2 linked regions of the Danio rerio genome follow. The protein of the gene in region 2 interacts with the protein of the main gene of each other region in a pairwise test. Links are inferred from orthologs where the notes say so. Each region holds a gene or a part of one and is shown on either strand. Other genes may lie near its edges.

Evidence for each region.
Region 1: the proteins of kxd1 (region 2) and tcea2 interact in binary tests that used the Homo sapiens proteins (3 or more experiments, as listed by UniProt). The two-hybrid records come from large-scale screens. The link is inferred for Danio rerio from reciprocal best matches to the Homo sapiens genes KXD1 and TCEA2.

Annotation. Positions count from the first base shown.
Region 1 is NC_133198.1:8,860,646-8,865,000, forward strand, and holds the start of tcea2 (transcription elongation factor A protein 2), read right to left. Parts: upstream 3,012-4,355; 5' UTR 2,831-3,011; coding exon 2,762-2,830; intron 2,275-2,761; coding exon 2,212-2,274; intron 15-2,211; coding exon 1-14. UniProt on the Homo sapiens protein: Necessary for efficient RNA polymerase II transcription elongation past template-encoded arresting sites.
Region 2 is NC_133200.1:21,951,793-21,956,178, forward strand, and holds the start of kxd1 (kxDL motif-containing protein 1), read left to right. Parts: upstream 1-1,404; 5' UTR 1,405-1,660; coding exon of another isoform or gene 1,661-1,755; 5' UTR 1,756-2,407; intron 2,408-2,823; coding exon of another isoform or gene 2,824-2,851; coding exon 2,852-2,976; intron 2,977-4,386.

The sequences.
Region 1 (4,355 bases), on a different chromosome or scaffold from region 2:
CCGATCCTAGTTGACTACAGTGAGAAGATCACGTTACAAACCATGGAATATTGCACTGTTCTGATAAACTGCAGCTCATTATATATGATTTACAAAAATAACCAGCACCTAATATCTAAATATCATACTCTGACTAACTGATCAGGCTTCTGCTTTAAAACAGCTAATATTAAAATATCATATTGTCTTGTTAAAATACTGTTTTAATCACTGATATCGAAAGACAAAGCCAGAGCTCTGGGGTATTTCCTTCTGAACACTGATGATCTGTTGTGCTTTAATTTCTCCTCAGGGACCAATAAGGGCTGTTTGTCTGCACATTACCTCCATCCATATTGACTAAATCCATCTCAGGGGTATTACAATAAAAAAAAATAAATAAATAAAATATTAAACAGAAAATATTTTGCTCATCATCTAAAACGAACTCTAACTGAAATTAGTAAATATTATAAAATTAAATGCTTATAAAATTCAATTCAGGTTTATTTCTATAGCACTTTTTACGAAGTAGATTGTGTTAAAGCCCCTTAACAAAGTTCTAGAAAATAGAATTTGTATGAGTCCAGATGTCAAAGTTGAAGTTCAGTTTAGTGTGGATAAATTTTCACTACTGAAAGTTCAAACACTGAAGAGCAAATCCATCGATGCGCAGCTCCACAAGTCCCAACCAAGCAAGACAGTGGAGATAATGCATTATATTTATGTTTTCAGTTATTTCTCACATTCATTTGCTTAAATTACCTAAACCAAAGTAAAAAACACTGACTGTTTATGCAATTTAGTAATGTAGGGTGAAATAAATAACTAAATAAAATTGAAGTAAATAAACTGTGCCTTTTGTGCATCATTTTGGCATTTTGTAACATTGGCAATATGATTAAATCATAAATCAAAAAATAAACACGAATGATACTAAATTAAATTCAACGAACAAACTGGAATTGAAAGCACATCGTAGTTTAATTCATGAAAGTTGCTCTGTTGTGTGCTTTTTATCAAATTCAAGCAAAAAAATGGTCTTGAATGCATTTGTGGTCTTCTAGATTTATAGTTTCTGCCATTTAAAAGAAAGAAAGAAAGAAAGAAAGAAAGAAAGAAAAAGAAATTAGCACTTCTGAGATCAGTCAGCAGGGTTCATTAGGTGTGAATTGCTATTTTTTACGTACTCATCCGAAAAATTGTCAAACGCCATGACATTATAGATCATTTTGAGACATGCAAACAAAAACAATGGTCCCAGCGTATTTTTCTGTTTTACATTTTATAATTTCTAAAGCTTTCGAGAATCTAAAGAGAGCCACACAATGATAAAAGTACTCAATAGTGAGAATTGAGTATTACTCTGTGAAAAGCTGATGCGTGTACATGCAATTTGTGTGTGTGTGTGTAAACGTAACATTCTGTAGTGCATTTAGTGATTGTTTAAGTCCATTTGACAATTTCATCATACAGTAAACACCCTTCATCTTCTTATCAGTGACATAGTTTAAAAAGCCTCTGGCTCATTGCGTGTAAAGATTTTTGACATCTTCTTGGACAATTGCAATACTTTTACAATGGTTTGCTGCATGTATAAAGCATCCATGTATTGAGGTTGTTCAATATGATGCAATTGAGTTTTCTCTGTGCGATTTGATTTGGACAGGAATCGCTGGATAGATTTTTTACTAAGCCAATCCCCGTACACAAGAAAAAAACAAATAGTGACTGCAGGTTGAAGGAAAGTAGTGGAGTAAAAGTACAGATACTGCTGTAAAAATGTACTCTAGGGGAAGTACACATTTTTAAAACTACTTCGTAAATTACAATTCCTGAGAAAAAAAAACTACTCAGTTTTAGTAATCGGAGTATTTGTAATTTGTTATTTTACACCACTGCTGTTGTTACAGTAATGAAATAGTTTGATAACAAGCAGAAAATGTTCACTGGGCCAATGACATGACAACATTGAATTCGTCTATAGAGTTGATTACATTTTCATGACTGGATTGTGAGAATTTGATTGAGATTTCAACGTCCTCTCCTATATTCGGGATTGGCTCATAGTAATTTATTCAGATATTTTCTGCTGAAATTCCAACAGTACTAACAGTATGCCAATGAGAACACTAGCATGGGATTCCCTGACAGAAAGAAAAAGAGTTGATTATATAATCTAGCACAGCACACACTCGTTCCAGAGATGCCTTCTGCAGTCTATGTAGATACCTGTAGGGTCTCCAAAGACATTTTCATGTTCTTCAGCTCCTGAAGCAAGTCAATGGCACCATCCTGAACATAAAAACACAAGGAGGTGAGAAACAAACAAAATTGGTAAACAGTCACTACAACAACTTCTTAAATGCGTCAGTAAACACTAGCTTCTTCAACTATAGCTTGGTTTACACAAAAACACAGGCAGATACTATGTTTTGGGGACGAAACTGGGGCTGACTTGTGTGAAGTACTAGATAAATGAGTCTTTTGTTTGCGCTGGAGAAATTTGGAGAACAACCAGCTGCCAGCTCATCACAGCACACAAACGCTTCAAACATGAGAGTACAAAACGAACGAGTGATTGTCAATGGAGACTGACCAATAAGAGCACACCGGGCGGTAGTCTGGAATAGGATGAAACAGGTGATAATCACACACACACCAACTAGTCTCCTGCTGGTTTAACGGATACAAACATGAACGAACGAACGTCGAATAAACAATGTTCTCCTGCCTGTTTTATTATTATCAGATGCTACAGAAAAAAATGTGTGTCACTTACGGTGTTTTTTTTGTGCACCATTTTGTCCAGCTTCTTGGCGATGCGCTCCACTTCTTGGTCCTTCACCATGTTTGCAGGTTTAGGGCTGTTTGATGGCGCCCGGTGGCCAAGCCTCCATTTACGTGTGAAAATGCGCCCGTCTCTCTCTCTGTGTGTCTCTCTTTTAGTGGCAGAATGAGAGGAATCCACTGCCTTTCACTTCGCTCTCGTCTGTTGTTGCATGGTTGATTCGCGAGCGAGTCGTTCTTATGAGTCGAATCATTTTAAAGAATCACTTGAATTCGAACGATTCGTTTACGAACGAGATTGAATCAGTGACTGTGCTTCTCGACACAACAACTCACCAATTGTTTGGAAAATCATTCAAGAACATCGTCTTTTCTGGCCATTTTATTTCGTAATGACACAAGAGTATCATTTTAAGTGACCAAAATGGAGTGAAAGGTAAGTTATTAATGTACTTTACTGGCTATATGGTTCTGTGGGAATTGTCAACACAAAAGTCAAAAAAGTTTCAGGATATGTCCAATGCTTGTGAGCCACTAACTAACTAGGTCAATGTGAATTAAAATAAACACGTTTGATAGTAAAAAAAAAAGGTTAACTATTGCAGTATTGATTTTCTAAGCCTATTTTATGCCACAAAGAGATGTCATTTGGTCACGTGATGACATAAACAAAAATCATCCCTGAATTGTTCATTGAGTGGTGTTTGAAAGAATCGATTCGCGAAAATGAGCTGCACTGCACATAGTTTCTGTTTCGAAGCAGGGTGTTGTGGGGAGTGGAGTTTATTCACCACAGAAGCAAGCAGCCAGTTTGGTGTAAAAAAAACAAAAACAAAACAATAACAACTTTAGGTTATTAAGGAGACAATGCAGTCCTAACACGGATTAAAGAGTTTTTAAATTATTTGACAACTGCAATCGTCATACTCCAAAATTATATTCATCATCCAAAAAGGGTTTAGGCTATATTATATTTTATTATAATATATTATTCATTTATTTATTCATTTTCTTGTCGGCTTAGTCCCTGTATTAATCCGGGGTCGACACAGCGGAATGAACCGCCAACTTATCCAGCAAGTTTTTACGCAGCTGATGCCCTTCCAGCCGCAACCCATCTCTGGGAAACATCCACACACACACACACACACACACACACTCATACGCTTCAGACAATTTAACCTACCCAATTCACCTGTACCTCATGTCTTTGGACTGTGGGGGAAACCGGAGCACCCGGAGGAAACCCACACGAAGGCAGGGAGAACATGCAAACTCCACACAGAAACGCCAATTGAGCCGAGGTTCAAACCCGCGACCCAGCGACCTTCTTGCTGTGAGACGACAGCACTACCTACTGCGCCACTACCTCGCCTTATATTATATATAGTTAATCTGGGGATGCCACTGCGGAATGAACCGCCAACTTATCCAGCATTTGTTTTACGCAACGGATGCCCATCCAGCTGCACCCCATCACTGAGAAACTCCCATTCACACACATACACTACGGACAATTTAGCCTACCCAGTTCACCTATACTACATGTCTTTGAGCTGTGGGGAAAAACCACGCAAACACGGGGA
Region 2 (4,386 bases):
AATTATTATGTTTAGAAATGTGTTGAACAAATCTTCTCTCTGTTAAACAGAAATTGAGGGGAAAAAATAAACAGGGGGGTCTAATAAATCAAGGGGGCTAATAATTCTGACTTCAACTGTACATTATGTATAATGGTAGTGTTCAGTGACAAGATCCATTTAGAAATAATTCTGTAATGCCAAACATTATACACTTCAGAAATCAATGCCATACAGCTTTATTAACTTATTTAAATAAGTTAAAGTAACAAAATATTGTTGACTTTTGTCATATCATTTTTACATTGTGTATAATAAACTGAAATCGAATAATATAATAAGCAATCTTCAAACAATATATACTATTAATACAAATAAGTTAATTATGCAAATGTATATTTTTACATAATTAAAATGTATTAAAATCAATTAATAAAAAAGTATTTCTTAAAAATGTAATAATACAGTTTACATATAACGCCATTTATATTAATAGGTTTAGAAAATGCTTAAATAAACTGAATAAATTACTTCCACTATTCATAATAACATTTATATTTATAAATAGAAACTAATATTTACCGAAATATAAAATACAGGCCTAATATATATATATATATATATATATATATATATATATATATATATATATATATATATATATATATATATATATATATATATATATATATATATTCATAATATCCATCTCATGTGGTGCATATAGTACTGAAGTCATTTTGGGATACTGTATTCTTATTTTATATTGTATGTTAAAACAAATTAAAACAATATTTTAAAGCCCTTTTTATTTATTTATTTTTTTATTGCAATTTTAGAACACAGAACATACAAAGGGAATAAAAACATTATGTTTACATAAAAATAAATACAACATAAAACAAAAATAAAAAAATACAATTATTCAAAGACAGCATTTAAGGCTTTAAGATAATAATAGTATAATAATAACAGTTCTTTTTGTTTGGTATTTTTTGTTTCTTTTATTGTCCTTGTCCTATTTCTATTTTTAAGTGAGTAAAATTAGGTTTTTCCACTGCACATGTACATTTATGAATAAAAATATTTCCATATATAATTAGCAAATTACAAAACACCACATTATAAAGTAGACAGTATTCTCATATAAAGAATAAATAATCTTTTTCTTTGAATTGAAAAGCAATATTCATAACGTTTACCAAAAAAAAAAAAAAGATAACACCAAAACAACTGTGTATAAATACAACCATAACATAAATGAGCAATACTCTCTTCTTTATCATCACAGAAAGCGCATTATAAATCTACATTTCATTTTAAAGCCCTTTTAAACCCCTCTTTCTGTCTTTCTGAACATCCAATCAACGCTAAGAAAACCTTCTAGATGCCGCCTCCCAAATGCGTCACGATCTCTCAGCGATCATATGACAACACCACAACAAAAATGTCTGCCTGCATCTCAGTCCAGTAAATGTTTGATCGTTTTAGGAATACAATAAAAGTCTGCATACATGCAAAACCTCCTGCATCAGACTGCGACGCTTTAGAAACAAACAAAGTCAGACGAAAACTAGTCAGAAAGCGAATATTTTAGCACGTAAGCGATTACACTCGTCTGTATCGGTTTATTATTAGCATAACTCAATAAATCTCGTGCTTTGCTCTCGAAAAAGTTCAAATGGAGCCCACAGCTTCGGGAATATTCTGTAACAGGATGCTCAGTATGGTGAACTCTGAGGATGTGAACGCCATCATTCAAGCCCAGAGACATATGTGAGTATCCCTGTCTAGTGAAATTGAGGTAAAATTCGGATTATATTCACACATCCAGACTTTCTCCTTAACAGTATAACTTCAGAAAAGTGTCGTTTTCAAATTCTTAACAGTGGAATCATATTAGCAGCCAATGACTATCAAAATGCAACATTGTTCACAGTCAAATAAATAGTGCTAATGTTGTTTTCAAGTCACACCAAAGTCCCTGTAAGGCATATTGTATTCTATGTATTCTATAGTCTTTGTGATTTCATATAATTCATTTTCTTGTCGGCTTAGTCCCTTTATTAATCCGGGGTCACCATAGCGGAATGAACCGCCAACTTATCCAGCAAGTTTTTACGCAGCGGATGCCCTTCCAGCCACAACCCATCTTTGGGAAACATCCACACACACATTTACACACTCGTACACTACGGACAATTTAGCCTACCCTATTCACCTGTACCGCATGTCTTTGGACTGTGGGGGAAACCGGAGCATCCGGAGGAAACCCACACGAAGGCAGGGAGAACATACAAACTCCACACAGAAATGCCAACTGAGCCGAGGTTCGAACCAGCGACCCAGAGACCTTCTTGCTGTGAGGCAACAGCACTACCTATTGCACCACTGCCTCGCCCTGATTTCGATTATTCAAATTACCACGGTAAACATAAGGAAATTGAGGTAAAGTTGGTTTTATATTTGAACATTCTTTCAGTGATCACTTGTGATATGGTCCCTATATTGTTTACCATGGTACTGGTAAAACATTGGGTCTGAAATCCTGTGTAAGAATGACTTCAAAACAACATAACCACTATTTATTTGACTATAAACAACCTAGTCTGATGCTCATTGACTGCTAATATGTTTCCACTATTTAGTATTCGCAAAGAGTAAGTTTCTGAAATTATATTATTAAAGAGAAAGTCTGAATGTGTGAATATAAAACCAACTTCACCTCAAAATATAGGAAGAATGTCACAAGTTGAATTTAAAACCAACTTTAACGTACCTAAATTCTAGTAAAGTACCTAAAAAGGAAGCTGTTTAAAACCTGTTTTGATGCATGTCCTACAGGCTGGACCGCTTTGAGAAAACCAATGAGATGCTGATCAACTTCAACGGCTTGTCCAATGTGCGCTTACAGCAGATGAATGAACACTTTCTGATGCACACCAGGACTTTGATAGAGATGAAGAAAGACTTGGACAGCATCTTCAGAAGAATAAGGTGTTATGTTTGCAAATTAAGATTGAATTGAGTGATGTTTAGCAATGAGTGTGTTACCATATTTTACTATTTTGTCATTTAAAATGCCATTAAAGTAACTTTTCACAAATTAAACTCAACAAATTAGTTGAGTAATATTACATTGTAAGTCAGTACATTATTTAAGTGTAAATAGAAAATGTACTCTAGTTTTCACCTGTGTATAGGGGAGAGCGGGGCACAAAGTAACACTTTTTGGTTTTGGCCAAATAATGAACAAAGTAATGGAGTTAGACAAACCATCTGAATTCATACGGTCAAGGAAAACCTGGAAAAGTCGTAGTATTTTGACATGCCTTTTTCAAGGCTTGGGAAAGTTTGGGAAAAAGAGAAAAACCCACAAAGTTTTGGAAAAATCATGGAAAACAGAAATCTTTATACTTGAATATAGGTTATTTACTGCTTTTCTGTCCTTTGCCAGTCACATTCTCACAATATTAGTGTGATGTAAGCATTATCTGAATCAATTTTACATAGATGTAAATATAAATTAAAACTTAATAGGTTGTTGCTTGTTTTACGATATGCTGTAATCAATTTGAACCTGCATTGTTTTTCTTTTACCATGCATATGTAGACATTGCATGAAACATTAAGGTCATAAAAATTTACTTAAAAGTTTTGGAAAAATCATGCAAAAGTCATGGAATTTTAGTAGTAAAAATGTGTCTGAACCCTGAACCATTTATTTTTACCAACAACACACAAGCCTCTCCTACCAATGAGCAATGGTTGTATGATTTTCAGACCTATGGTTTCTGTGTATTATTGCCAAAAGTGCAGGGAGTAAAAATGTTACTATTTACCCCACATGTGGGGCAAGTTGTAACAGACAGAGGGTTAGTTGTAACACATGCTTATAAAGTCAGCTCTCACACAATTTATTTAAAATCAGTTTATTTAAATAGTAGCTATATTTCCTCAGTACATTGCTCAGTTTATTTTTATTCAACATAGCACAATATGTTTATTTATTTATCTGTTGGATAAAGACATTTGGATTTATTTCATTATTGTACATTATTATACAATGCACTTATTTGCAGTATTAGCTATAAAATAAATTTTTTTCTATTAAAAAATATTTTCTTTTATAAAACATTTTGTATAAAAAGTTCTGAACATTACACTCAAAAAAAAAAAAATATATATATATTATCAGTCACAGTTTTTTTTTTTACATCTTTCAAAATGGTTCCATCTTTCAGCCTAGAAGAAGGTAATCACAGCAATATAAGATTTTACTTGCATACTTACACAGATTTTTTTTTTAAATAAAAAATACCAACTAAAAAAAAAAAAAAAAAACTTTTATGCTGCAAAAACGGTTTCTCCTGTATTTCTCATTAAAATTTCCCTGAAAGTTTTCAA